Sus scrofa: one gene and its partners. The protein of the gene in region 3 purifies or fractionates together with the protein of the main gene of each other region. This does not show direct contact. Links are inferred from orthologs where the notes say so. Each region holds a gene or a part of one and is shown on either strand. Other genes may lie near its edges.

What was found.
Region 1: the proteins of CSNK1D (region 3) and SNX24 purify together in Homo sapiens (affinity purification with mass spectrometry; 3 studies listed by BioGRID and IntAct, counting the BioPlex papers as one, with this or other methods). This does not show direct contact. The link is inferred for Sus scrofa from reciprocal best matches to the Homo sapiens genes CSNK1D and SNX24.
Region 2: the proteins of CSNK1D (region 3) and GAPVD1 purify together in Homo sapiens (affinity purification with mass spectrometry; 5 studies listed by BioGRID and IntAct, counting the BioPlex papers as one, with this or other methods). This does not show direct contact. The link is inferred for Sus scrofa from reciprocal best matches to the Homo sapiens genes CSNK1D and GAPVD1.
Region 4: the proteins of CSNK1D (region 3) and PER1 purify together in Homo sapiens (affinity purification with mass spectrometry; 4 studies listed by BioGRID and IntAct, counting the BioPlex papers as one, with this or other methods). This does not show direct contact. The link is inferred for Sus scrofa from reciprocal best matches to the Homo sapiens genes CSNK1D and PER1.
Region 5: the proteins of CSNK1D (region 3) and ANKRD49 purify together in Homo sapiens (affinity purification with mass spectrometry; 3 studies listed by BioGRID and IntAct, counting the BioPlex papers as one, with this or other methods). This does not show direct contact. The link is inferred for Sus scrofa from reciprocal best matches to the Homo sapiens genes CSNK1D and ANKRD49.
Region 6: the proteins of CSNK1D (region 3) and VPS13B purify together in Homo sapiens (affinity purification with mass spectrometry; 3 studies listed by BioGRID and IntAct, counting the BioPlex papers as one, with this or other methods). This does not show direct contact. The link is inferred for Sus scrofa from reciprocal best matches to the Homo sapiens genes CSNK1D and VPS13B.
Region 7: the proteins of CSNK1D (region 3) and CRY2 purify together in Homo sapiens (affinity purification with mass spectrometry; 3 studies listed by BioGRID and IntAct, counting the BioPlex papers as one, with this or other methods). This does not show direct contact. The link is inferred for Sus scrofa from reciprocal best matches to the Homo sapiens genes CSNK1D and CRY2.

Annotation. Positions count from the first base shown.
Region 1 is NC_010444.4:126,346,902-126,351,084, forward strand, and holds the start of SNX24 (sorting nexin-24), read left to right. Parts: upstream 1-1,383; 5' UTR 1,384-3,089; coding exon 3,090-3,149; exon of another isoform or gene 3,150-3,213; intron 3,214-4,183. UniProt on the Homo sapiens protein: May be involved in several stages of intracellular trafficking.
Region 2 is NC_010443.5:265,946,838-265,950,867, forward strand, and holds the start of GAPVD1 (GTPase-activating protein and VPS9 domain-containing protein 1), read left to right. Parts: upstream 1-1,230; 5' UTR 1,231-1,389; intron 1,390-4,030. UniProt on the Homo sapiens protein: Acts both as a GTPase-activating protein (GAP) and a guanine nucleotide exchange factor (GEF), and participates in various processes such as endocytosis, insulin receptor internalization or LC2A4/GLUT4 trafficking.
Region 3 is NC_010454.4:785,859-789,358, forward strand, and holds part of CSNK1D (casein kinase I), read left to right. Parts: intron 1-96; coding exon 97-245; intron 246-657; coding exon 658-886; intron 887-1,072; coding exon 1,073-1,243; intron 1,244-1,688; coding exon 1,689-1,837; intron 1,838-3,260; coding exon 3,261-3,432; intron 3,433-3,500. UniProt on the Homo sapiens protein: Essential serine/threonine-protein kinase that regulates diverse cellular growth and survival processes including Wnt signaling, DNA repair and circadian rhythms. It can phosphorylate a large number of proteins.
Region 4 is NC_010454.4:53,373,924-53,378,000, reverse strand, and holds the start of PER1 (period circadian protein homolog 1), read left to right. Parts: upstream 1-1,277; 5' UTR 1,278-1,428; intron 1,429-1,657; 5' UTR 1,658-1,794; intron 1,795-4,077. UniProt on the Homo sapiens protein: Transcriptional repressor which forms a core component of the circadian clock.
Region 5 is NC_010451.4:26,633,394-26,637,415, reverse strand, and holds the start of ANKRD49 (ankyrin repeat domain-containing protein 49), read right to left. Parts: upstream 2,801-4,022; 5' UTR 2,663-2,800; intron 1-2,662. UniProt on the Homo sapiens protein: Induces HBG1 expression. May have a role in spermatogenesis where it promotes autophagy in response to serum starvation, via the NF-kappaB pathway.
Region 6 is NC_010446.5:37,141,842-37,145,341, reverse strand, and holds part of VPS13B (vacuolar protein sorting-associated protein 13B), read left to right. Parts: intron 1-1,013; coding exon 1,014-1,277; intron 1,278-1,933; coding exon 1,934-2,017; intron 2,018-2,194; coding exon 2,195-2,370; intron 2,371-2,775; coding exon 2,776-2,946; intron 2,947-3,298; coding exon 3,299-3,500. UniProt on the Homo sapiens protein: Mediates the transfer of lipids between membranes at organelle contact sites. Binds phosphatidylinositol 3-phosphate. Functions as a tethering factor in the slow endocytic recycling pathway, to assist traffic between early and recycling endosomes.
Region 7 is NC_010444.4:16,617,581-16,621,518, reverse strand, and holds the start of CRY2 (cryptochrome-2), read left to right. Parts: upstream 1-1,138; 5' UTR 1,139-1,197; coding exon 1,198-1,415; intron 1,416-3,938. UniProt on the Homo sapiens protein: Transcriptional repressor which forms a core component of the circadian clock.

The DNA of each region.
Region 1 (4,183 bases), on a different chromosome or scaffold from region 3:
AGGCATCTCTCTAGTGAGCAAAGGCTGTGTCAAGGGGTGTGTTTAGAGGTGGCTCTGGGCTCAGGATGACCTTAGGCAATCTGTCAGCTGATATGGCTCTATTCCCACTTCATTGGTTGTTTGACCTGAGGCTTCCCAAAACTGGAGCCTGTAGGCTGTTGGATAAAGCCAGGTCTCATTTCCAAAATGGTGACCTCTGGGGGAGTTCACCTCAATGATTATTCCCTGGGGCCTCTGCAACTAGTGTCCTGCCCCCAGAGTGAGCCATAGCCAACCTTTGCCTCCTTAGGGGACATTCCAAGACCCACAGGTAGGTCTGTCCAGATTCCTACGGAGTCACTGCTCTGCCCTGGGGCCCAGCACAGGAGAAACCTTGTGTGCACCCTCCAAGAGTGGTGTCTCTGTTTCCCCGGGCCCTGTGGTGCCCTTCAAAGCCAAATGCTCTAGGGGCTCCTCCTCCCTATACCAAACCCCCAGGCTGGGGAGCCTGACATGGGGCTCGGAACTCTTACTCCTGTGCGAGGATCTCTGTAATACAATTATTTTCCAGTTTATGAGTCAACCACCAGTGGGTATGGGATGTGATTATACTGCAAAATCACTCCTCCTACCATCTCATTTTAGCTTCTTCTTTGTCCTTGGGTGTAGAGTATCTTTTTTTTGGTAGGTTCCAGTCTTCTTTGTTGATGGTTGTTCAGCAGTTAGTTGTGAGTTTAGTGTTTTCATGATCGAAGGTGAGCTCAAGCCTTTCTACTCTGCCATCTTGTCTCCTTGCCTCATCAGTCCATGGAATGTTAGTGGGCGGGAAGTGAGAGGAGAGTGTCATCTGTGGGATCTGGCTTAGGCTCTGACTTTCTCCTCAGATGCTGCTTGTCCTTGGAGAGTAAGTAGACAAACTGAGCAGATCTGAACTCAATTTGGTCTGCAGCACATCCACCCTCAGCTGAATTCCTTCTTTTCTTGTTTACTCTGAGACACTTCTTTAAAGGGAAGTGACAATTTTTTTAGGCTTATTCTTTGGTGGTTGTTGGGCTGAACCCCACAGGCCTGAAAAGACTCTACTTGCCCAGCTTTAAGAATGAAGAAAGAGGAGTTCCCGTCGTGGCGCAGTGGTTAACGAATCCGACTAGGAACTATGAGGTTGCGGGTTCGGTCCCTGCCCTTGCTCAGTGGGTTAACGATCCGGCGTTGCCGTGAGCTGTGGTGTAGGCCGAAGACGCGGCTCGGATCCCGTGTTGCTGTGGCTCTGGCGTAGGCCGGCGGCTACAGCTCCTATTCGACGCCTAGCCTGGGAACCTCCATATGCCGCGGGAGCGGCCCAAAGAAATAGCAAAAAGGCAAAAAAAAAAAAAAAAAAAAAAAAAAAAAATGAAGAAAGAGCCCAGAGTCAGCGACAGAGACAGTGGTGTCTGATGGATGGGGACATTTACATGTCTGAAGCAAGGTCCTGGTATGACAGCTCATCATGTGGGGCAGACATCAGGGCAGGACATGGCAGCAATCTTCCCTCTCAACTTCTTCTTCTTCTTTTTCTTTTTTGGCCACCCCACAGCATAGGGAGTTCCTGGGCCAGGGATCAGATCCAAGCCACAGTCGTGACCAATGCTGCAGCTGTAGCAAACACTGGATCCTTTAATCCACTGTGCTGGGCTGGGGATGGAACCTGTGTCCTGGCACTGCAGAGACTCCACTCATAATGTCACACCACAGTGGGAACTCCTCAACTTCTTATGTATGTATTTGTCATGTATTTTTCTTAATGTTCTGAGAAGACAGCTGACCTGTCACAGATTGTAGAGTCATACTAAAAGATATGTAAGAGCATCGGGATAATACATTTGCCATGTTCTCTCACTGCAGTGCCATTCTTCTTTCCTTTATAGTGGTTGCCCACAGAACGTGATTAGAAATTTAGCTCTTCTAATTATTAGCCTGTAATTTCATAGCTATTTATCCTCTCTGAGCTTTAATTATGCCATCTGAAATAACCAAAATTATAACAATTATAGCTGAACTGCAAGACCCTCAAGAACATACCCGCATATTGAGGGCTTGCATATATTTTCAGCAAAGCAAAATTAAATTATACACAGTTAGTAAAATACAGCAAAAAAAAAAAAAGGGGGGGGGAGGATTCATTTGGACCACCTGTCAGATTTTTTTGGACTGATACATTTCTAACTTTTAACTCTAATGGGTAAATAGGTGAGCCATGCCAGATAAAAATATATATGTCAGGCTACTAGTAGTAGGCTGTTATCGTTTGTGCTATTGTATAAAAAGTATAATAAAAGCTTGATCAGTAATCTGTAGCTCAAAGCCCGAGGGGCAAATCTCAGCCCTCATCTTCCCCTCCCCCTTCTCTTTTCTCTTACAGGTAAAAAGATCTGTGTAGTTACTTAGACGCAGCATTTTAGAACTGAAGCAAGAAACCGGACTGTTTATCTCAGTGAGCCGCCGACCTTCGGGCTATGCATTAGAGCATGATTCCCAGGTTCGACAGCGAAGCAAAGCAAGGCACTGACCCTGGAATCGAAGGGAAACAGAAAAGTCTTCGTAAAAGTCGTGCAGGGTTCACGGCTCTTCATGGCAGCCGAGGGCTAAAAGGAAAATTTAACCAAAACAAAATCAAGAAGCTCTTCTACTCCTTGGCGTCTTGCAGTCTGTTCAGGGTGGTGTCTGGCAAACTGCAAATCCAGTGCACACTGGAGCCTCAAGGGCAGGGAGCGCCGGGGTGCGGCCCTGTCCCTGGCGCCCGACCGCAGTGGAGCGCACACCCCTTTTTTGCAGACTCACAGGTTTCCAGGCCCCGCCTCCTCTGGGCACTGCTGATCGCCGCGCTTTGGGCCCGGAATCCAGACGTCCAGAGCCCTACGCCCTCGGTTCCCCACACTGGGCTCCAGGCGGGGCCCTCCTAGAGCGCTGCGAGCGGCGGGGTCCGCAGAGGATCCGGGTCGGAGCCACGTAGCCTCCAGCTCCGTGGGGCTCGGGAAGGGAGGCGGGGCGGCCGGGCCGGGGGCGGAGTCGCGGCCGCGGCCGCCGCCGTGAGCCCGCCCCCTGCTCGCCCTCCCGGGCTAGCTGGCGCGGCCATGGAGGTCTACATCCCGTCCTTTCGCTACGAGGAGAGTGACCTGGAGCGGGGATACACGGTAGGCGCCGGCTGAGGCCGGAGAGGGCCCCGCGAGCCGGGCCTGCAGCTGCTGAGCCTCCGAGGTGCCTTCGGCCGCCGCCGCTGCCCCTGCGCGGGGTGGGGTGGGGGGTTCCCTCGCTCCCTTCCTTTCCCTTCCCCTCCCCCGGTCCTTTGGTATGGCTGCGCCCAGGAGTGGTTGTCAAGGAAACGGGCGCCCTCCTCCCTGGCGCTGGGTGCCGGGGTTTGGTCGCTTCCCCCTCCCAACCCCGCTCCCGGCCTCCCAGCAGGATCGCCGGGAGTCGAGTCCTTGGACGAGGTGCTAGGCACTCTCCCCGGCGCTTGCCCTCTGGAGCCCGGGATGGGCTGCGCTCGTTTCTGGCATAGCTGCCCCCTCTGTCCAGACAGAAGTGGCGTCGCGGTGGTTTGATGTTACGTTCCAAGTTCTGTAGGATTCATTCAGATGGAAAATATGCGCATTGAATAAATTATTCATTTGTGAATTTATTAGCCAAAGTGAACACATGTGTTGCATTTAGATGATTTCCAAAGTTTTATTTGTTTGGTTGTTTCTTTTTTCCTGGTTCTGTAGTGCCCTGAAATGGTAAAATCACGTACTCCCTGAGCACCTGTTCCATACCTAGAACTGAAGTTTGGCAGGAAATGAGAAACAGGGCCCCTTTTCTCAAGAATAGAGTCCCGGAGGGCAGAGACCAGGGCCTGGGACCTTTGGGTAATAAATTTAATAATGAACTGTACTGAAGTTGATTTCCCAATGAACTTAGACATCCTTATCTAGACATTTTTATCATTGCTATGGGGAGAAATGCCTCAGCCTGGGTAGACCTTGGAAAAATTTATTTCCATTTAAAGAACATGTATGTTTTGGAGAAGATCGCATGGGACGTCCTAAAGGATAGTTTATTTTCTTCACTTTTAATTCACTCACTTGCTAAACTCCAGTTACATTAGTTTGGCGTAAAAGTATTTTAACCCTTCTCATCCCTAAAAATTATTGGGTTTTGGTGACAGCTTATTTGGAAACTTGTGTTTTCA
Region 2 (4,030 bases), on a different chromosome or scaffold from region 3:
TTTTTATGGTCACACTTGCAAAATATGGAAGTTCCTGTGCTAGGAGTCAAATTGGAGCTGCAGCACCAGCACACAACAGCCACAGCAATGCCAAATCCAAGCTGCATCTGCGACCTGTACTGCAGCTGGCAGCAATGCCAGATCCTTAAACCACCAAGCAAGCCCAGGGATTAAACCTGCATCCTCATAGACACTATCTGGGCTTCTTAACCTGCTGAACCATTTTATTACCATTCTCGTGGTAATAAAATGAGGTGATAAATCTGATGCAGATTTTGACAAGTTTTAAAGGTAATACATCAAGGAGGATGACTAAATGGAAAGCAGTCTGGGAGCTGAATCACATTTGAAATTGTTGGAAAACTGCTTGGAGATGCCTAGCGTTGGCGGATATAATCTTTGTGTTCAATTTTTGTACGGGCTGTCAAGTGGAAAATGTTCTATATTGCTCCAGGCAGCATAACCACTAGCAGTGGAAGGAAGTAAAAGGGAAGTAGATTTTGGTTCAGCAGGAGGCAGAACTTACTAACATTTAAAGCTCTCCAACGATGGAGCAGGCTGCCTTACTTAAGGAAGTGAGCTCCTTGAAATCTGACCTGTTGAAATGTAAGTTGGATGACCATCTGTCTTGGAATGTACAAAACGGAATTCCTGCCCCGGCGGGTGTTGGACTAATGACCTTCAAATGTCTTCCAACTGTAAGGTTTCTATGACTGCTCAGCTCAGTTAACTTGATATTTGAATATCTCTGAATTGCTTTTTGCAAACAATTTTGTTTTAGATAAATTGTCAATCGACCTAAAAAAACTCTATGGGCAAGATTACAATCAGTAAAATTTGAGAAAAGGAGTGGGAAATCAGGTTTAAAAGTGAAAATTCAGATATCGCTAAAGGCAATTCATGACCCTTTTAACAGAAAGGAAAAGGAGGGGTGTGTGTGTGTGTTTCGAATGATGCGTTCTAGGCAAGTGACAGCTGTTATTTAAAACATAAATGCTCTAAATTGTTTTACTTTATACATACTTGCTCAGACGAATTTTTCACATCCAGCAGAACCGTATGCGGAAGCAAGGTCCGTCGTGTGACGAACAATTTTCCGGAAGCCGTCGCTTGGTACCCCAGCCGACCGAGACAGCGCCAGCTCGCAGCCGACTGTCTGGAAAAAGCGGAAGAGGCACCCCTGGCTGCCGGGTCCCGAACTACCAGTCCCAGGGGTCCCCGCGGCGCAGCGCACGCGCCTTGGCGTGGCGGCAGCGCCGCCGCAGGACGCAGGGAAGCCAAGTGGCGGCGGCGGCAGCGGCGGTGGCAGTTCGCGGCGAGGGCGACGGTTCCGAGGCCGAGTGGCAGGACGGCGCAGACCTCGGTGCCTTTCTCTGCACGATCTTCTGGGTGAGTGCACGCCTCCGATCACCCCGTGCGGAGTGCGAGCTCCTTGCCTGGCGGCCGTGCTGCTCCGGCCTAGGGCCGCAGTCTGCGCCTGACGGCGGGCCGCCGGGTCCCGCTGACCCTTGGGCCCTGGGCCCTTCCCTCCAGTGTCGGGAGAATGGGGGTGGGGGGACACGGGTAGGTCTAGGGGAGAGATGTGGCGGCGCGCGGGGCCGGGACAGCCTGGGGCGGAGGAGAGGGAGGGGCGCGTGGGGGATGGGATGGTAAGGGACAGGAGGACCGCCGGGCGGCTCCGTGTGAGGGCCAGAGGCGAGCGACCTGGCAGCTAGAGAACTGAGTATGGGAGGCGGGGAGGAGGTGGAATGTCTCCTGAGTGCCGCTGGTGAAGACGGCTTGCTTCGGAGACTCTTGACAGGCTGGACTCAGGGGACGAGTCGTGGGGGGCTGTCCACCTACGGTAAACATACACTCCATACTTGGCATCTTTCCACTTCCTGTTGGAGGTCCGTAACGAGGAGCTGTTGGTTGCTCCCATCTCCTTTCCTTCCACTTCGCCTTTTACTGACTGACGAAATTTAAGTAGGGTGCTGGTTAGGCAAATCAGAGAAATAAGCAGGGTTGTGTGTATAAATCTGCACAAACGAGGAGGCATGGTGATATGTTCAGATGAGAGCTTGGTCAAAGGAGAAATCAATGTTTTGATGTTAAATTTTGTGACAGAAATCAGTTTGAGCAAGGCTTTGAACTAGAAATGATTTTCAACCTGAGATTCACCAATTGGTGGATAGAATTCAGAGGGTCCTTGAACTAGAATAGGGAATAAAATTACATCTTTATTTTTATTATTTAGCTATTGTCATTTCCTTCAGTTAGGAATATAGGCAACAAATCACAGTAGTTGTAGTAATGCCTGTGACTTTCTTGCAGATATTTTTGTGTCATGTTTACAGCTGCAGGTATCTCAGAATATCATATATGTTTATAATTTCTCTGAATTATGGTATTTTTAGACCCATTGTTAGTTCTTGTTATTTAATGAGATAATAAAGCTGCGCATACATCACAGTATTTGGGTTTTTCATTGTTTTGCTAATAGTTCAGTATAATTAATTTCTTTTGTAGTTGCATTTACTTAATTTTGCATTTAAAAGCAATCTGAAAAGGGGTCCATTGGCCTCACCAGATTGCCAAAGAGATCCATGGCAGAAAAAGATTAAGAACTCCTGAAGCAGAAATAAGTTTTGGGGATGTATAAGTCTGCTTGGAAGAATATTTGAATCATTAGGTAAGAAAAAAGTCAAGGCAAATAGGATGACAGTGCAGAGGAAAGAGGGAATTTTTATTTTATTTATTTTTTTATTATAGTTGATTTACAGTGTTCTGCCAATTTCTGCTGTACATCAAAGTGACCCAATTACACACATATATACATTCTTTTTCTCACGAAAGAGGGAATTTTGTAATCATGGAAGTAGGAGAAAAGATTTGACTGGGATCAGAGTAATAGTTTTGAAAGATAGCGTAGATCACAGATATTTCATTCAGGGTACTAGTGAATCGGCAGAATAATCTGAGGCAGAAAGGGAAGTGAGTACTTTGGCCCTTAGATTTTTTAAAAAAATTTTTTGATTGGAGTATAGTTAACTTACAAGGTTGTGGCCCTTAGATTTTTGTATTTAGGCACCTCATAGTTCCAAGTGGTCGAAGCCCTCCAAACTCACGGAAGCCTGTGAAAGAAAATTTTAGTGTGTGCTGGTTTTCTTTAGGTCGTAGGTAGAGTGGCCTTTGAATGGGGGAGGAAATTCTCATTTTTCTATTCTTAAGTGAAAAACTGCAGAATCTCTCTTTCAGGTATATTTTCTTGTTGCTCTTCTTCTTTTCCTATATGTTAGAAGGTAAATGTGCTGATTGTAGAGTTGGAGAGTTGCTAAGTCATTTTCTTGACATTATATTGTAAATTCTTGTAGTTCAGCTTCCTTTTGACATCAGATTTCTCACTGACAAGTTACTCTTAACATTTTTTCAGAGTATGTGTGACTTGAAATTTGCCCCTGTTTGTAAAGCACTTGTCAACATCCTGTGTAGGATTTTTTTCCTCTAAAATAATAGCAATATTGGAAAGCCACTGCAACAGGCTTTTTTTGGGAAAAGATTAAGGAGAGGGTGCGGAAAGGTGAAGAAGAGTATTTTGTGAAACAGATGTTGGTGCCCAATTAGTGTATGTGGAATTAAACACCCCGTGTTACAAATCAGCGCCTCAGAGAGGTCTTGCTTGATACCTTCCGTGTCCTTACACTGCCCCTTGGGTCATTCTTCCTCCACTCCCCCCTTTATTTTATTTATACCATATATCTACGTGGCATCCTGTTATTTGTATATTTACGTATATTTATATATACAGGGTCAAGACAATTTAGGTTGGAGATACTGCTACTAAATGGGAGAGTGAGAGATTGGGGAATGCTCTGTGGAGGAGATGGCACCTGAACTGGACCTTCAGTCATAGATGTGATCAGCTATAGGGATGTTGAAGAAGGGCTTCAGGTGAAGGGACCAACTTGAACAAAGCCAAGGACAGAGGAGTTTGTAAATCAAATAGAACATCAGCCTCCCTTCCTCTCCCCTCTCCCTCCTTCCTTCCTTC
Region 3 (3,500 bases):
CCCCCACTCCTCATCGAGGGGCTGGTGCAGTTGGTCACTGGTGCCAGCGCAGTGCCCCAGGGTGGTGGGGGCGGGCTGACGCTGGCTCTCTTGCAGTGGGCATCCCCACCATCCGGTGGTGTGGGGCCGAGGGCGACTACAACGTCATGGTCATGGAGCTGCTGGGGCCCAGCCTGGAGGACCTCTTCAACTTCTGCTCCAGGAAGTTCAGCCTCAAGACCGTCCTGCTGCTCGCTGACCAGATGGTGAGAGCGCCTTCTCAGGTCACACGCTGGGTCTGGCTCAACAGTGCAGGGCCTGCGAGCGCATGGGGAGGGCAGGAAGGGCTCGGGGCCCTCCAGGGCTTTGTGTCCACAGCACAGCTGTCACGTCAGGCTGCGGCTGCCCCCCTGTGAGAGCCCAGGACGGGGCCGGAGGGATCGGCTCGGTGCCCCCACACGTTTTTAAATTGGTGTAGGATGCTGGGGGGTTTTTTTTGGCTGTGCCTGCAGCATAGGGAAGTTCCTGGGCCAGGAACAGCGCCCAAGCTGCAGCTACAACCTGCACCACGTGGGTGCTTCCTTTGTGCCCCTTTCTGACGCCGAGGGCTGCGGAGTGTGGGCACCGGTCTCCTGTGGGGCCCCCTGGGCTTTGACCTGGCTCCCCCCCTCCCCGCAGATCAGCCGCATCGAGTACATCCACTCGAAGAACTTCATCCACCGGGACGTGAAGCCGGACAACTTCCTCATGGGGCTGGGCAAGAAGGGCAACCTGGTGTACATCATCGACTTCGGGCTGGCCAAGAAGTACCGGGACGCCCGCACCCACCAGCACATCCCCTACCGCGAGAACAAGAACCTCACCGGCACCGCGCGCTACGCCTCCATCAACACGCACCTCGGCATCGGTGAGGCCTCCAGGCCCGGGCCCTTCCCGGCTGGGGTGGGGCGGGCGCGGGCTGGCTCCCTGGCGGCCCCCGCGACGCTGTTGCCGCCCTTGCCATCCGGGCTGAGAGCGCCTCCCGGCAGCACAGCAGGGGCGGCCTGTGCCGCGCAGGCCTGCGTGCCGCCCTGACCCTCGGCCCTCTTCCCAGAACAATCTCGGAGGGACGACCTGGAATCTCTGGGCTACGTGCTCATGTACTTCAACCTGGGCTCGCTGCCCTGGCAGGGCCTGAAGGCGGCCACCAAGCGCCAGAAGTACGAGCGCATCAGCGAGAAGAAGATGTCCACGCCCATCGAGGTGCTCTGCAAAGGCTACCCCTGTGAGTGTCCCGGGGACGGGGGGCGGGGCCCGAGGCTGGGGGGCGGGGCCGCCCACACCCCGTGAGTGTCCCAGGGACGGGGACCGAGGCTGGGGGGCGGGGTCCCCCACACCCCCGTGAGTGTCCCAGGGACGGGCCGAGGCCCTGCCCACACCCCTGCGCTGGGGCGGGACAGGGGCAGGTGGCCTCTGTCCCTAGAAGAAGGCTCCCCTGTCTTCCTAAGCCGTGCCTCCCGGGGCCCTTCGTTTTCATCGGGCGCCCCCTGGGGAAGGTTCCCCCAATGAAGCCTAGGCTCCGCGGCACTGTTTTCTCAGCCTCTTTGCTCAGTGTGTGCCCGCGTTTCACGTCCGGCACGTGGCAGGCCTGCTCAGGGGTCCTGCTGACAGACCCGTGCGGCCCTCGGTCGGGCCACAGCTGGTTACCCTGAGTTTCCCGTGTTTTGCAGCCGAGTTCGCCACGTACCTGAACTTCTGCCGTTCCCTGCGCTTTGATGACAAGCCTGACTACTCGTACCTGAGGCAGCTCTTCAGGAACCTGTTCCACCGCCAGGGCTTCTCCTACGACTACGTCTTTGACTGGAACATGCTCAAGTTTGTAAGTGTGCCACCCGCCGCCGAGCCTTCCCCTCCCTCCTCGGACGCCACAGGGCGGGCTTCGGGTGGCGTCGCTGATGTGGGGAGCGCGAGGGCCTCCGAGACCAAGAAGGCCCTTCCAGGACAGCCAGGGCCACGGGGGTGTCTGTGGTGCAGGCCTGCCCCCTGAGGTCACTGTCGTCGTCGTCGTCCATCCTGGGGTGTGCAGCCGGTGGCCTGGGTGGCCGGGTCACTGGGGCGTGGCTGCCCCCCTGGGGTGAGGACCTGCCTCCTCCCCTGCGCGGCCTCCGAGGGGCGCCATGTGTTCCCGAGGCGGGAGCCTGGCTGCGTGAGCAGGAGCCGAGCAGGCTGGCGATTTGGTGTTGCTCTGAGACAGGCCTCCTGTCGCTGAGTCTGTCGAATGCACTCGATCAGTCTTCGGGAAGCACTGCCGGCGTTCCAGTGTTTCATTCAAAGTTGGTTCTAAGTTTTTGGTTCTGCGCTTCAAGCCCAAGCAGGCACGTTTCTGGGGTGACGGAACCTGATGGGGACAGAACCTCCCCTTGAGGCCCCAGCGCAGGGCAGGCAGCCCCTTCCCGGGGCCTCAGGTGTGCAGTGCTCACCCCGGGATCAGGTGGAGGTGGCTGCAGCCTCCTGCAGTGGGGCCAGCGCCAGGCCTGGTCCGTGTCCCCTGGGAGCCAGGCCCCTCTGTCAGGGTGGCCGTCGGGACAGCCCCGGGGAGGGGGGTGTGGGTGGCCCGGAGTTGCCACCGCGCTGGACCTCCTGCCAGAGCCGCTCTGCCACGGTCTGTTCTCCGGAAGATGATTTCGGACCTGCCGTCTGCACCGTGTTGGCACCGCTGGTCCCTGTTGTGCCCAGAGAGCTGCCTGTGCGGTTTGGACGGAAGGGCGTGGCTGCGCCAGGGGCAGCTCGGGAGCCGGGGGCTGCGAGGGCCGGCGGGAGTGCCCTTGACTAGGACGGTTGCCAGCACCGCACTTCCTCAGGTGCCCCCAGGCTTCCGGTTACACTTCACTGTTCCGGGAGCAGCCCGGCCGCCTCGTCACCTACGCGCCGCCGTGACCTTCGCCTGGGGCTCTGGGCTCGGGGCTTTGGCTGGAGCCCTCAGCCGACCGAGTGCTGCTTCTCCCTCCGGCTTCACGGGCCCCGACTGTCGCGGGGCTGGGCCACCTCTGACCCAGGCTGGCTCCCGTCCCACGGGGCAGGGCCGCTGGGCGCCGCCGGTCCCGGCTTTGAGGAGGCGGCGGCTGGGGCTTTCTCTGCGCACCGGCGGGCCGGGCCGCCAGGTTCCGGGGGGGACCGCTGGGCTGCTGCGTGGCTGGCGACGGCTGCCCCGGCCCACGGACCCCCATGCCCGGCGTCGCTGGAGCAGTGGCTGAGAATCGCCGAGCCCAGTTCAGTCCTGGTCTCGCCCTCTTTCCTCGCAGGGAGCCAGCCGGGCAGCCGACGACGCCGAGCGGGAGCGCCGGGACCGAGAGGAGCGGCTGAGACACTCCCGCAACCCAGCCACCCGCGGCCTCCCCTCCACGGCCTCAGGCCGGCTGAGGGGGACCCAGGAGGCGGCCCCTCCCACCCCCCTCACCCCTACCTCACACACGGGTGAGTGTCCTGGCGCCCCAGCATGCGCCGCCACCCGCTTTGCCGGCGGCCGGCCCTCCGGCTCGCGT
Region 4 (4,077 bases), about 53 Mb from region 3:
TCCAGAAGGGTTAATAAATACTAATTGAACAAAACGGCTCAGGGAGACAGAGGTGAGTGTGGTGTGGAGTCGGCTGCAGGGCTTGCCACCCCTGCCCTGTGTGCAGTCAGACTGGTGACTCTGGACCCCCACACTGAACTCTTAATCTCCAGCAACAAATGCAGCCGATGTGGTACCCTTGCATCTCTGACCCCGGGCACTTCAACAGTAGGTGGGAGTGCTAGGTGAGCTCCGGAGGGCCCATTTTTCTGGGCGGCAACATGAGGGTTCCGCATAGGAAATCTCGATAATGTTTCCTAAACTTGTCGGCTCATGAGAACTACCAGGAATGCTTTTTAAAATAGATTTTCAGGCCCCTTCCCCGGAGATTGAGTCAGCAGTTGTAAGGGACCAAGTGATTCTTATAATTAGGTATACAGTCATTATCATAATGTTCACCATTTGTTGAGGGCTTACTATTTTCAGGACAGGTACTAAGAGCCTTTTTACCCTTCATCTACTGAGTTCTTTACAGGCTTAGGATTCCCGCAGGCTCTTGGACCCGCCTTCTTTATGTGGGAGATCTGGGTTCAAATCATGATCCCATTAGAGACTAGCTTGTTCTTCCGGACAGATTATGTAACCTCTCTGAATCTCAGTATCATTAGTGAGGCGGTGGGAAGTGAGCCGCCGCCTCTTCCGGCTTTATAAGAAGCGCGTGGCCTGGCCACAGAAAATAATCTGGGAGGTGGCTATCATCTTTTTGTCATCATCGTCACGCGGTACGGAGACCTGAAGACCGCTTCACCTAATGCTCACACCTTCCAGCTACTGGGAGTTTCAGGTCCAGAGTCCCAGCGCGGGGGCGCTCTTGTCACGCACGGGACGGCTCTCAAAGCGCCCCCCACAAAGTTACGGGCGCTCACATCTGCGCCTGCGCAGACTCGGCAGTCTAGGGTAAGAGTGTCGTCAAGGAAAATCCCCAGCTTCTAGGTAAACAACTTGCCGCGTGAGACCGCCTGCACGTGTCCTCTACAGCTCCGGAATGTCTCAGCCTATGAGAAAATTGGGAGGGCTGGACTGACGTTTGCGTCACCAATCTAGGCAGGCCGGGGGTGGAGTCACAGCCAATAAGAATTTCGGATGTGAGTGGGGGCGTGTCTTTCCTCAGACCTCCAATCAACGCGCTAGGGCGGCCCCTCCCGCACGTGGATCTGTCGCTTGGTAGGCAAACTGACCAATGAGAAGGTGACGGCGGCGGGCGGTGCCAATGGTAGCTGGGCGGAGGCGGGGGGGGCCCCGCACGCGGCGCGGGGCATGGGTCGGCGCCCTTAGGCCAATAAGCTTGAGGGGCGTGGCGTCCTGGTCGGCGGGCGAGGCTGAAGGAGCGAGTCCAAGTCTCCGAGATCCTAGTTGGGAAGAAACTGTACCGCGCGTGAGAGCCGAGCGGTGAGTGCTCCGGCGTGGTGGGGTGGGGAGCGGGGAGCGGCGGCGATTGGTATAGGTTTTTCCCGCGTGGCGTAAGGAGGAATGTTAATGCAGTACCGTGAAGGAGAATGTGTGGATATGTGATCGCCGCGGTGGGAGCTCTAGTGGTTGCAGGGAATAGGGGCCGCGAACTCAGTTCTAGAGAGAAGGGAGCAGGAATCACTGATTTAAGATCCCTCGCTATTCCAAGGTGCCTGGATCCCTGACTGCCGCGGGGAGGGGTTCGGAAGCGTTCGGCAGCCTGAGGGAGCTGAGACCTCTGCTCCCAGGAGGTACCGGACCCTTTAGAACCAGTGGGGGACGTTCCAGTGCGTGACTGTTGCTCGGGTAGGTGCCTTAAGCACTTGAAAGAGGCCAGGGCGGTGGAGGGAGAAGTTCTCGTCGTTGTTGCTTCTTCGGTTAAGGACGCCGTTTCTGTGAGGATGCAGGTTCTATCCCTTGGCCTCACTCAGTGGGTTAAGGATCATCAGCTGCAGCGTAGGTCGCAGATGCAGCTCGGATTCCTTGTTGCCCGTGGCTGTGCCGGTTGCTCCAGCTGCAGCTCCGATTGAACCTCTGGCCGGGGAACTCATGCCTCATTTGCGGCCAGCAGTAAAAAGGAAAAAAAAAAAAAAAGCAGGAGTTGTGAAGCTAGAGAGAGGCCCTGGTAGGGCAGGTGGGTGGGTACCAAGGGATTGACAAGGTGACTTGAAAAAGGGTGGTGTGATGATTTATGTGACCCTGAGCCAGTCACATCTTGGCTGTGGCTCTGGATGTCTCTCTCATGTGTAAAAAGAAGGGGTTGGGCCTCGGAGCCATCCTTGGGAGTGAGCGTGGGGTAGGAACTATTGGATCTCAAGAGGGAGGATGGATTTGTGCAGATTGGATGCACGTGTGTCTTCCTGAGTCCTTGGAGGGGAGGAGGCAGGAACTGGGTGCTCTGGTATCTGTCTGTACAAGTAACCAGGCCTGTGGTAAAGTGACCTGTGATGAGGTGGAGGAGTCAGGAAGTGGGGTTCCTAGCAGATCACTGGGGCTAGTGGCTGCCAGGGTGATCTCAAGGACTTTGTGAGAATATGAAAACTGGGACAATGCGATTTGAAGTGTGTAGAGAGTGCAGACTGACTGTTGGGGCGGGGGGGATGGCATCTGTGTTTCAGGCACCAAACTCAGAATGGGCTGGGTATTTGAGAGGCCCAGGTCCCCCAGAGGTGGTAACACCTCACAGGTTCTTGAAGGGTAAGAAGCCAGAACGACAAGCCATTAACAGAGTTCAGATTCGAATCCTGGGCCCCATTTGTTAAGAGTCAGAGAACATATTATGAAGCAACTTAGGCAAGTTTAGTAACTTCTGAGCCTTAGTCGGTCTTTGTGCAATGGGGATAATGATATCTATCTCACAGGCTTGTTCTGAAGATTAAATAAGTTAATGTATGTAAAGTACTCAGCAAAATGCCTGGGTCATATTTAAAAAAAATTTTTTTTAGCTAAAAAATATGGCTGTATGGTGACAGTAACAGGAATGGGTGAAAGATTTCTGTGAATGCTGTGGTTAGGGACTGACAATGCTCACATTCTTAAGCTTTTTTGCAACTTTTAGTGACTCCCTCCCTGTTCTCCTCTTCCTGGTTCTTCTGGGCTGGAGCACCAGCCCCAGTCCCTCATTCCTCTCTTTTATCCCTCCCCCAAGATCCAGGCCCCAGGCTGGGCCACTTGCTCTGTCCCAGTTCGATTTCCTCATCCTTGACCCATTCTCCTCCCTGTCCCTCCTCCCTCTCTCTGCTGCCATGGTAACAAGACATTCAGGCTTTGAAGGGGGCCTCAGGGAAGGAGCAAAGGTGCGTGTTCTCTTGCAGAACCTGGGCCTCCAACTTCCCCGCCCTGGCTCTTTGGGACCGGGCCAGCAGATGTGTACAGTCTGGGAGGGGGGAAAGCCAATGCCAGGAGCTGTAGGAACCAGCCGAGGGAGGGTGGATGCGAGTCTCCAGAAGAGAGCCTGGAGTGGGGGCGGGGGAAGCACCCCTTCCTCCTAATCCTCTCTCCAGGAATCCCTGGCTTTGGGACCGGACGGCTGTCGTTGGGTTGGGGGAGGCGCCCAGGCTGGGTGCATGTCCTGGGCTACCAGCCAAAAGAACATGATGTTCCCAAGTGCGCTGGCCGCCGCCCTCTTGGGCTGGCCGCCTCCCAAACCGCTGCCTCTCCGGCCTCCCTGCCCCACATTCCCCGGCTGCCTCGCCCCGCCCCATCCTCCGCTTTGACGTCACCGCCGTCTCCCGCCCCCTCTCTTCCATTGACGGCAGCAGGGCCTGGTTACTGTGGGGATCGGGAGGCAGGATCTCGGTTAGAGCCTTGAGAGCAAGTGGGAGCTGCTGGAGCCCTGGACCCTTTTGTCCACGCCAGAGAAAAATATGGAGGCGGAGGGCAAGGACTGCCTGTGTCGGGGGAGGTCACATCTAAAGCCCTGAGGAGTGCTGAGGACGAAGAAAAACCGTGTCTCCAGAAGAGGTGTCTGATAGGACCAGGGATTAGGCCACAGTATAGGAGTTGGGGGGACATTTTCAAGGAGAGAAGACTGAGAATCCAGGCTTCCGAATCCTTTATTTTGTGTTTTCTGGCTTTGTTTTTTTCTGG
Region 5 (4,022 bases), on a different chromosome or scaffold from region 3:
TTTTTGGTCTGTGCCAGTCTCTGAGTATTGTTCAATAATGAACAATTAATCTCAAGAAGCTTACTGTCTAGTTCCCATCATGGAGCAGTGGAAATGAATCCGACTAGGAACCATGAGGTTGTGGTTCGATCCCTGGCCTTGCTTGGTGGGTTAAGGATCTGGTGTTGCTGTGGCTGTAGTGTAGACCAGCGGCTACAGCTCTGATTTGACCCCTAGCCTGGGAACCTCTATATGCCGCAGGTGTGACCCTAAAAAGACCAAAAAAAAAAAAAGTTTACTCTCTAGTCAGTGAGACTGGCAAACACAGTGTAATGAGTACCATGATAAGACCAGGTCCAGATACAATGAATATACAGGAAGGTCATAACCTAGGCCATTAACCCAGTCCTAAGGGATTAGAGAAGGCTTCCTGAAGGAAATATTTACTCTGCTAGGCTGCCATAATAATTTATAAACCAATATCAACTTAGAGAGTTACTCAGCATATTAAACTTCAATAAAAGAGATGAGAATCATAGATATTTAAAAAATATTATTTCTCGGCTTCCCAACTATATTTGTTGAAACCTTACCAGTCTTTCAAGATTCTTCTCAGAGGTTGCCTATCTCATTAAATCTTTCTTGAGCTTCCAAATCATCTCTCGTTTCTACTTTTTTTGCTGCTACATACTATCTAATTTTGTTCTTGTTTGAGCCTCTTAAAATACTGTCAGCTTAAGGACAGGAGCTATATTTAACTTACCTTTGTGTTCCACTTATATACAGCAGGTGTTAAGAACTATCTGTAGAATTCAGAGTTCCCACTGTGGCTCAGTAGGCTAAGGACCTGACATAGTCTCTGTGAGGATGTGAGTTCCATCCCTGGACTCGCTCAGTGGGTTATGAATCTGGTGTTGCTACAAGCTATGGTGTAGGTTTTAGATGAGGTTCAGATCCTGGTTGCTATGGCTATGCTGTAGGCTGGCAGTTGCAGCTCTGATTTAACCCCTAGCCTGGGAACTTCCATATGCTGCAGGTGCGGCCTTGGAAAAAAAAGAAAGAAAAAAGAAAAAAAAAAAAAGAGAGAGAGAGACAAAGAAAGAGAGAAATACTTGCAAAATTAAACTGAATTAAAGCCCTATCACTTGATTTTACTTGAAATTAGTTCTGAGAAGCTCAAGAGTTAGGCATACCACTAACACAATGATTTCTTCCTACCTAATTTCACAAATTTTAGTTGATACAATCTTAAATGCATCATTACATTTTACACTTTATTACTAGTGCCAAGAGCAGTAAACTCAAGTTTAAATCTATCACATATGATCAGTACCTTCTCTGGACTTACTTCTTTGTTGCACAATATAAGAATTTTACTAAAGGATTTCCAAAAACTGTCCAGGTTTCAGAGTCAACAGAGAGACCCTGTCAGAAAGGCTTTATGTTCTAATAATCTCACTTTTTCCTTTTTTCTCAAATTATTCTCTGAAACTTACGACATAAAAGATCATACATCTACTCATTAAACACTAAATAAATACCAGTAAATAATGTTAAGTTCACTTGTTAATTATATCAATTATAGTAATATTATAGCACAAATTTTAAGGCCCCCCCCTCCTTTTTATGAAAACTCTCGGAGTTCCCATTGTGGCTTAGTGGCAATGAACCCTACCAGTATCCAAGAGGATTCAGGTTTGATCCCTGGCCTTGCTCAGTGGGTTAAAGATCCTGCATTGCTGTGAGCTGTGGTGTAGGTCGCAGACATGGTTTGGATCTGGTGTTGTTGTGCATAGGGTGGCAGCTGCAGTTCCAATTTGACCTGGGAACCTCCATATGCCACAGGTGTTGCCCCCCCCAAAAAAAACCCCAAAACTACAGAACACTGTAAATCAAATATAAAGAAAAAATAAAAATCATTAAAAAAATAAAATAAATCCAGTACTTTAAAAAAAAAAGCTCCTTATAATTTGAATTTACTGTTCCAGATAAAATTAATTACATATAAAGATTCTGTAGCGGATTTAAAAAGTTAAACCGAGATGCATATTCCTGATTCAGGATTTAAAGAGTCCATCAAGACTCCTATTTGATGATACCCCACCAGGAAGAAACAGTCTATGTTTTGCTAAAGATCACATTCCATAGAGATCTAAACTATATCAACTCCTCACAAACAACCCAGTGACAGGGGTGGGGGGTGTGTAAACCCCATTTTACAGGTGAAGGCACTGAGGTTCAGATAGATTAAACAACTTTCAATGAAACTGAAAGTCCATATTTTCTAATTCAAAAGTTTCACATTATTTTTTACTGCACCCTGTTTTACTGCCGTCTGCACAAAGCAACATAGATGTGCTGAACCAAGGATCCAGGGAGACAGTAAGAGGACGCAGGGAAAGGCCTGCAAACTAGAGTCCGAATGCTCAATCTCGGGAGTGGGAGTGAGGCTAGAAGGCCACCAGTCCCCGCCGGTCACTTCACTGGCCAGGAAGTCGAGTCTGCGGCCTTCCAAACTGCTAAGGACAAGGAAGCCGCTCCTGCTCTACCTAGGACCCATGCGGCGGCCCTATTTACAGGGCTCCGCAGGGGTCGACAGGTGACCCGCCCCTTTGAGCCCAAGAATTCTTAGGTGGCGCCAAGCAAGCTGGAAGCGGACCCCGGATAAGAAAGAGCTACCTACCTTGCGGGAGGGGGAAATCGCCGCCGGGAACTTCGCTTCCGGGGTTCGTCCCCTCGGCTACTCAGGATTGGCTCTTCTAAGAGGGCGGGGCGTCGCCGCTACTTTCCCTGCGACCTCACAGCATCCTCAACCAATGAGAAGAATTAAAGTACTACGTCATCAATGAAGTCTCGCGAGAAAAAGCTGCTGTTTCTCTCCCGCCTAATTCAGGTCTTTGGCCAAACCTATACTGAGAGACCAGCTCGGGCTGTACCGTTACCTTTTTTCTCGCGGATCTCCCTCCTTCTTCCCGGGTAAAACACAACTTCGGGTCCCCAGGGTGGGGCTTTGGAGAGTCCCGGTGTGGGGTAATTTAGGAGTCGTTTCTTGTATCCCGGGCTCGGAGAGGATTGACCCTGTGGCAAGAATGGGCGGAGAAGGCTGGGGAGGAGCCTTGGAGGTTGGCGCGTTCTGGTTTCCGATAGTCCAGTGGTGAGGGCTTGTTGAGGCTTGGAATTCCCACCGTTCCGCGGTGGCTGCGCTCCTCCCGCAAAAGCCTGGCCCTTTTTCTTAAGCTGCTGACACTTGATGTTGTCTCTCCGCAGACCACGTGTTTCTGTTTATTTACACCAGCTTTAAACACTGGGCCCTTCTCTTATCAAAACAAGCCCATTTCTTTAAAAACAGTTCTGTGTTTAAGCAGGAAATACCGGCGTCACTTCCCTGCTTCATAGTAGCCTGTCTATGCAACTTAAACTTTGCGGCACATGGAGAGTTGTTGATGTATTAAAACAGAACTGGGTGTGACCCTTATTGCCCATTCATTTAACAGAAGTTAGCTTCCCACAGGGCATGGTGAAGGGAAATAGGAGAGGAGCTGAAACATAGTGGTCAAACTAGAATGGCACTGGAGACACTATTTTCTGTTCTTAAAAAAGTATAGTAGGTGCTTAGATGAAAATGAGACTTCCAAAATTACCAGTCTGCTTTTTAAAAATGTGTTTTAAATAATATAATTTTGTTTTAGGATTTGGAATCGAGTGAGTTTTCTGACACATTTGATCGCAGGACCCAGGGGTACTTGGAGAGAAAACTGATCCGGGAGGAGCTGGACTGACCGCAGAAATGAGTCCTGCAGATACCCTGTAAGCTCCTGTCTTCCAGAATCTCTGTTGCTTTGGGTTTCTACATCCCATCAACTATGATCATCATAAAAGAAAACTTATGTAATAAATTACGAGTAAATCAAAAGCTTGCCTATGAACAGAAGTGTTAGTCATCAAAAAGGATGTTTGGAATGTCAGTAAATATCATACTGTATGGTTTTTGACAAAAGATAATATGTAGCTATAGTGGGGGTCTTGCGGTAGATTGGCATATT
Region 6 (3,500 bases), on a different chromosome or scaffold from region 3:
AAGTGTCGGCCAGTTACTGGGCTTGAGCCTCTACTCACTTTTCCAGGTAAAGTGCCTTTCTGTCTGCACGTTTACAAGGCATTTATTTCACCAGTATTTTATCTCCAGCCTCTCCTTCACTCTCAAGCACATGACCGGTATTTCTAGCTGGGCATGGATCCTGCCTATACTAGTTGAGTCCTGCAAAGGCCTCATGACCAGAGCAAAGTCCCTTCTCTCCTTCCAAGCCTCTTTTTCTTCTCATACTCTCTAAATAAGCCTATGATTTCATTTTCTTTCCATGAAAATCAGCACAGTTTGCTCCGTCTGAACAATTACATAAGGCGTATCTTGTTTTATTGCACTTTGCTTTATTGCACTTCACAGATATGGCATTTTTACAGATTTAAAGTTTGTGGCAACCCTGCATGGAGCAAGTCTTTCAGAGCCATTTTTCTAACAGCAATTGCTTACTTCATGTCTCTGTGTCATTTGGTAACTCTAGCAATATTTTTCATTTATTATTGCATTTGTTATGGTGGTCTGTGATCAGTGATCTTTGATGTTACTATTACAAAAAGATTACAACTCACTGAAGACTCAGATAATGGTTAACATTTTTTTAGCAAAAAGATTATTTTTTAATGTATTACATTGTTTTGTTTTTTGTTTTTGTTTTTTAAAGCAAAATGCTTGGCATACTCAGTAGTTTACAGTAAGGGGTTCCCTGATGGTCTAGTGTTAGGACTCAGCACTTTCACCTCCATGGCTCGAGTTCAGTCCCTGGTTTGGGAACTGAGATCCCACATCAAGCTGCTGCATTCCGGGGCAGAAAGATGACAATATAGTGTGAACAGAACTTTCATATATACTTGGAAACCAGAAAATTTATGTAACTGGGTTCATCTTGATATTTGCTTAATTGTGGTGGTCTGAAACCAAACCTGTGGTATCTCCAAGGTATGCCTCTATTTCCAATGCATGGAATCTGAATTGATGAAGTCTCATTGATTGATTGATTGATTGTCTTTTAGATTATCATCTGTGGAAGACAGATTATCTGTAGTTACTTGTCTCAAAGTATAGAACTAAAAGTTGTTCAGCATTACATTGGTCAAGACGGACAAGCTGTGGTTCGAGAACATTTTGACTGCCTCACAGCCAAGCAGAAATTGCCTTCATACATACTCGAAAACAGTGAACTGACCGAGTTGTGTGTGAGGGCCAAAGGAGATGAAGACTGGTCGAGAGACGTGTGCCTGGAATCCAAGGCCCCTGAGTATAGCGTTGTCATTCAGGTATGAGAAGTAGTACCATCTAGAATGGTGCGGCTTTAAAATTTAAAATTTCTCATTATGTTCTTTACTCAGCACCCCCACTCAATTTATTAATAAGTGACATGTACAAAAGAGAGGAGTAATATAACAAGGCTTTGAATATCACTTCTCAAACTCCCTCCTCCCCATCCCACGACCACACAGTTGAATCACTTCCAGTATCCAAGACTCTAACCCTCCCAGATGGAGATGGGTTACATCCTGAAAAAGATTCTGATGTACCAGGGCTTTGGGGGGATGGGAGGGAATAAAGGGTGTCCCCCCCACTTGAGAATCTTTTTGATGATCTGCTACTTTTTTATCTCTTTCTCCATCTCTGCCATCACATTCACTCCCATAAAGGACAAATCATCTCTTTCATTCTCCCACTGACTCTTGAATCAATCTCTCTGCGTACACATCCCTTCATCCTTATGGAACGAATTGGGCTCCTTGACTCACTGCACATTCACGTTAGGCCACAATGAAGTTTGATTTTGCTTGGTTATTTTAACGTGGCTTTTTTTCTAACATTAGGCTTTCTGTATCCTCCAGACAGATATTATATCTGTGTCTCACTTGGATTAATTAGTAAACTTTTTAGTATTTAATAGGACCCTTTTCTATCTCATGTGCAGGTGCCATCTTCAAACAGTTCCATTATTTATGTCTGGTGCACAGTTTTGACTTTAGAACCCAGTTCTCAAGTGCAACAGCGAATGGTAAGTGCTTTGCAATCCTAAAATATGGTATATGACTCTGACCTTTCCTGTTCTGAAATAAATTAAGGTCAGAGTGACCCAGGGAAGAGATTTATTACAAGTTTGTTTCGGCATCGAACAGCTGGAATACTGCAACAAAGCAAATATGAAAGTTGTTCTGTCCTTTTATTTTTATAGATTGTGTTCAGCCCTCTTTTTATCATGAGGAGTCATCTTCCAGACCCCATTATCATACATTTGGAGAAAAGGAGTCTTGGATTGAGTGAAACACAAGTTATTCCAGGAAAAGGACAGGAAAAACCACTGCAAAACATAGAACCTGACCTTGTACATCACCTAACATTTCAAGCAAGGTACTGGGAAAGTCCTTATATCTTCCAAGAGAGATTCCGTAGAAATGTAACCTTGTCCCACTGAGGGGAAATGGGAGGATAGAGGGTTTTCGTATGATTTCTTATCTTAGGAGAATGTTGTTTTAAAGTTGCCCTGTCTGGTATTCTCATATTCTATAGATAAAATTCAGCACCTTTAGAAATAAATCAGAGGGATGATCAGAACATTTAATTGACACATCATTTCTGTAGAGGAGCAAGAGATGAACCTCACAGGCGTTGGGGGGGAGGGGGAGGCCACAGCCCAGATTATTCTAAAACTGTGTCATCATCCCCAAATCATCAAACATTGACTCATTCTCACGAAAAAGTATTGGTTTATAATACATCTGATAATCACTCTTGCTTTTTCTTTGTGTTCTCTAGAGAAGAAGATGATCCATCACATTGTGCCGTCCCCATCTCAACATCCCTCATTAAGCAAATAGCCACTAAGATACACCCAGGAGGGACAGTTAATCAGATCCTCGACGAATTCTATGGGCCAGAAAAGTCCCTTCAACCCACGTGGCCCTATAATAAAAAGGATTCTGACAGGTATGTTCTCCAGCAGTCTTTGTCTACAAACATTGCTCAGTTTTAAGGAGTGAACAACCATTCCCAAAAATGTTAGATACCATAAAAATGTTTTTAAAAAGATATTTGTATATATATGCCAGATTCTGACCTTTTATCACCTAATAGATGTATTCTGTAGATTGCTTCATTCCTAATCTAGAACATAATTGCATGAAAAGCTTTTCTCCTGAATGCAAATGCAGCAAGGCATGACTCTAGTGTGAAGAGGTGTCATACAGGAGCGTTGTGTGTCTGGAATCCTTAAACACACTTCATGGATCCAGAAGTCATCATGTTTCATTGAGTCTCTTGGATGTGGTATTTGGCATAGGAATGAGCAGCTGAGCCAGTGGGACAGCCCGATGCGAGTGAAGCTGTCAGCCTGGAAGCCATATGTGAGGACCTTGTTGATAGAACTGCTACCCTGGGCCCTGCTTATCAATCAGTCCAAGTGGGACCTCTGGCTGTTTGAGGGAGAGAAGATTATTCTACAGGTTCCTGCTGGCAAAATTATTATCCCTCCTAATTTTCAG
Region 7 (3,938 bases), on a different chromosome or scaffold from region 3:
CACATCTCTGAACCCCACACAGACTCCAGTTCAGTCCTTTACACTCAGAGTTACCCCTAAGTCTATGACAGAACTAAAAGAAAAATTCATGTGATGGCTTTTTTTTTTCCCTCTTGCTTTTTAGAGCATATCTGCAGAGTTTGGAGGTTCCCAGGCTAGGAGCTGAATCGGATCTACTGCTAGCCACAGCAACTCAGGATCTGAGCCGCGTCTGCAGCCTACATCACAGTTCACAGCAACACCAGATCTTAACCCACTGAGCAAGCCCAGGGATCAAACCCTCATCCTCTTGGATACTAGTCGGGTTCATTACCGCTGAGCCACAAACTGGGAATTCCAATGATGACCTAATTACAATCTCAACCCACATTCTCCACAATTCCAGTCCCTAATCCCAACCCCTCTACTGCAGCACATCAGGGCCCACACTTTGGACTCTACTACTTGTAAATGCCAAGTTGCTCAACGCTGACAGAGGTGTAGTATTGTGGATAAAAGCAGAAACTTCAGATTCTGAATAATCCTGGTAGAAGTATTAGCTGTATGATATTGAGCATGTTACTCAACCTGCAGCAGCCTCGGTTTTCTTTGTCGGTAAAATGAAAACAGCTCTTTCACTAGGGTTTGTTGAAAGAATGCAACTCGTCTGAGTTTACAGCAGTAAAGGAGACAGCAGCGTAAGGGTATTATCACGTTGGTTGGCATCTAATGGAAGCTGTATTAGAATGCTGTAATGATGTATGTATAGAGTGTGGTAGATGATTATATTGATGACGAAGATGATGTAGGACAGCCGGTGGTCTGTCCTTTTAAGTCATTTGCTGGAGTCACAGCAACCCTCGCCAGCCCACACAGCTTCCAGCGCCAGGCCCTAAAAAAGGAAGCTGAGCTCCGCCGTTCCTCGGACTTGGTCCACGCCCAGACCTCCTTGGGGACCGCCAGCCTGCGTCACTAGCCCAGCCCTCCGGCTCCTCCCGGCAGGGCCCACACATGGTGGGAACGTGAGGAGGCGGGGCCAGACATGGTGCCTCTAACCAATCGCCCGGCAGGAGGCGCCCAGCCAATAGCAGAGGCGCTCCAGGGCCTGAGGGCGGGGCTCCAAAGAGTAGCGGCGCGTCATAGGTCACTGGGCCAGCTGGGGGCCGGGCTCGCGGCGCCGACGGGGGCGGAGCGGCCGCAGTCAGAGCAGTCCAGGCAATGATGGCGGCGGCTGTGGCGACCGCTGCGGCGTCCTCCCCGGCTCCCGCTGCCGGCGCGGAAGGCGCCTCTTCGGTGCACTGGTTCCGCAAGGGGCTGCGGCTCCACGACAACCCGGCGCTGCTGGCGGCGGTTCGCGGGGCGCACTGCGTGCGCTGTGTTTACATCCTCGACCCTTGGTTCGCGGCCTCCTCTTCAGTCGGGATCAACCGGTGGAGGTGAGGGGGCCCCGGGCGGGTTTGCGGGTCCGGGGAGCGCAGTCTAGCCTCTGAGGCACGTACCCTAAGAGGGGGGAGGCTCTGGCCCCAGTCCCCTCTGCTGAAAGCCCCCGACCTGAAAGAGATGGGGCAGGGAGGCGCAGCTGAGTCTCCAGTGGGGAGAAGCCGCGACGTGGGTAGCAATTAGTCCCATAGTTAGGGCTTGGGTGGGCCAGGGCTCAACCTCTGGCACGGCGCGTTCTCACTGTGTTATCCCTTTTGGTCCTCACGACGTCCCCGTGAAACAAAAATCATGATCCTCATTGTACCGATGAGACTCTGGAGTCTTAGAGATACAAAGTTGACCTGCCCAAGGACTTGCAGCCGGCGAGTGGCAGAACAGGGACTCCTGGTCTAGGGTTCTTAGGGTTGTGCTCAGGGAGGGGAGGACGGGAGCTATTGCGGTATGAGGGCCGGGACAGGTTTCTGAAATAGCACGGCAGACACCTGCATTCTTCAAGAGCGCTCCTGAAGGTCGTCTTAAGCTTAAGCCTCTGGTTTGTGTGAATTCATTTTTTCACCTATCCTGTCTTCCTTCCACCAAGATCATCCAGTCTCTGGAGGTGTCTAGAGACTCTGACTTAGCATTAGGTAGGGCAGGTGCCTTTGCTCCTTTATTGTAAATAAAAGAACATGCTCTCAAGGGCACGTTCATTGAGAGGCACTCTGTGTCCTGGGCTAGAGAGCAGACAGCAGTACTTAACCTATTTTGGAGAATTCCCTCAGCAGCTATGGGCTTGCTAAGGAAAAAAGCAGGAGGGGGGAGGAAGAAGAAAAAGAAACAAAGAGTCCCTTACTTCCTCCTCTTCTCTTGAGATTGATTTTAAAGGACAGTTGAGCCTGTAGATTAGACTCTTGTCAGCTGATGTGCTAAGATTTGGGAGCAGGCAAGCTGTGATACCAAGGGGCCCTCTTTGATGACTCCCAGGATCATGGGAAAAGTTTAACAGGTAGTTGATGTGTTTTCTCCATAACCAGTGTTTAAAACAAAGGTGTTCTGAGACATTGTGTACCCGTCTCTCTTTAACAAGTCTGGCAGTCGTCCTCTAGTTTGTTTGCATTGTTCTGGAGGTGTTTGCTTGTGGCCTTGTTGCACTGAGGGGCAGAGTTATTCCCAGGATACGCTGGCTCCCCATTCTTTCCTCTCCAAGGTGTGTGCCCTGCTAGGAGAGTGAGTGCTTCTAGCAGTGGGTCTATTAAATGCCCCCCTCCTGCCCCATTTATATGGAGGGAACAGCTAAAGATAGTTCTGTGGAGAGCCTGCCCACACAGTTTTCAGTCTGCTCTATTACTCGGCCCTTGCTCCAGTTTCTCTAGATAGGAGGTTGGGCTGACAAACATCCTCAAATGACCAGCCATCCCTAGTGTGGACTTAGCTTGGACTAAGCCTCAGACTTTGCCCCTCTCCTGATGGCAGTGTGCCAGTCAGAGCAGAGTAATTAGACTCCAGACTACTTGTTTGTTACATTGTCAAGGAGTTTCTTCTTTTATGGGATTTGAGGAATGTGGCATAAAATTGCCTGTTCCTTTGCAGTAGTGGAGATTAAAAATCAACAACAGGTGGTCCCATTGTGGCTCGGTGGTTAAGGATCCCTGGCTTCGCTCAGTGGGTTGAGGATCCAGCATTGCCGTCAGCTGTGGTGTAGGTCACAGATGCGGCTCGGATCTGGCATTGCTGTGGCTATGGCTTAGGCTGGCAGTTACAGCTCCTATTTGACCCCTAGCCTGGGAACCTCCAAATGCCGCAAGCGTGGCCCTAAAAAGACAAAAAAAAAAAAACCAACAACAAAACCTCTGTTGCTTATTAAACTCAGATTCTCTAGAAACTAGGTATTTAGAGATTTTTGTGGGTCACCCTTTTGTAATTGTGCTGTTGAGTGAGTAAAAGAAAAAGAATGTGGCAGCTCAGATGCCTATATCAAATCCTGAAGTCAGAGGCTGTGTAGGAATGCAGATGTTAATTGAGCGTTTAATGAGCACCTAATATCTGCCAGGCACTACTCTAGGGGCTGCTAGGAGCACAGCAGGGAACAAGCAGATGTGTCCAGAGCTCCTGGAGCTTACATTTTCATGTAGGAAGACAAGCAAACAGCTATAACTTGGTAGAACTAAGTGCTGTGAAATAAATAAAATCGGGGACAGACTGTAGCAATGGGTGTCAACCTTGCCACGCGTGAGAATCATTTAAGTATCTTTAAAAGATGGCTGGGCCCACTTCTCTCCCAATTCTGATTTCATTGACTTGGGTACTAGGGTCTTTAAAGCTGTCATGTGCAGCAAAGCCAGAGAAGTGGACCACAGAGTCCGGCAACTTGGGATATGTGTTGCAGTGCATTGGCAGGAAGTCTGATTGGTTTTGGTATCAGAAGAAAGAGGTGAAATAACACAAAGCAGATTGAATACAATAAATGCTCCTGGGCCTGGGCACAGACACACACCTACCACCGCCTCTATACTCTTTGCTCTCAGAATCAGAGTGAGGGC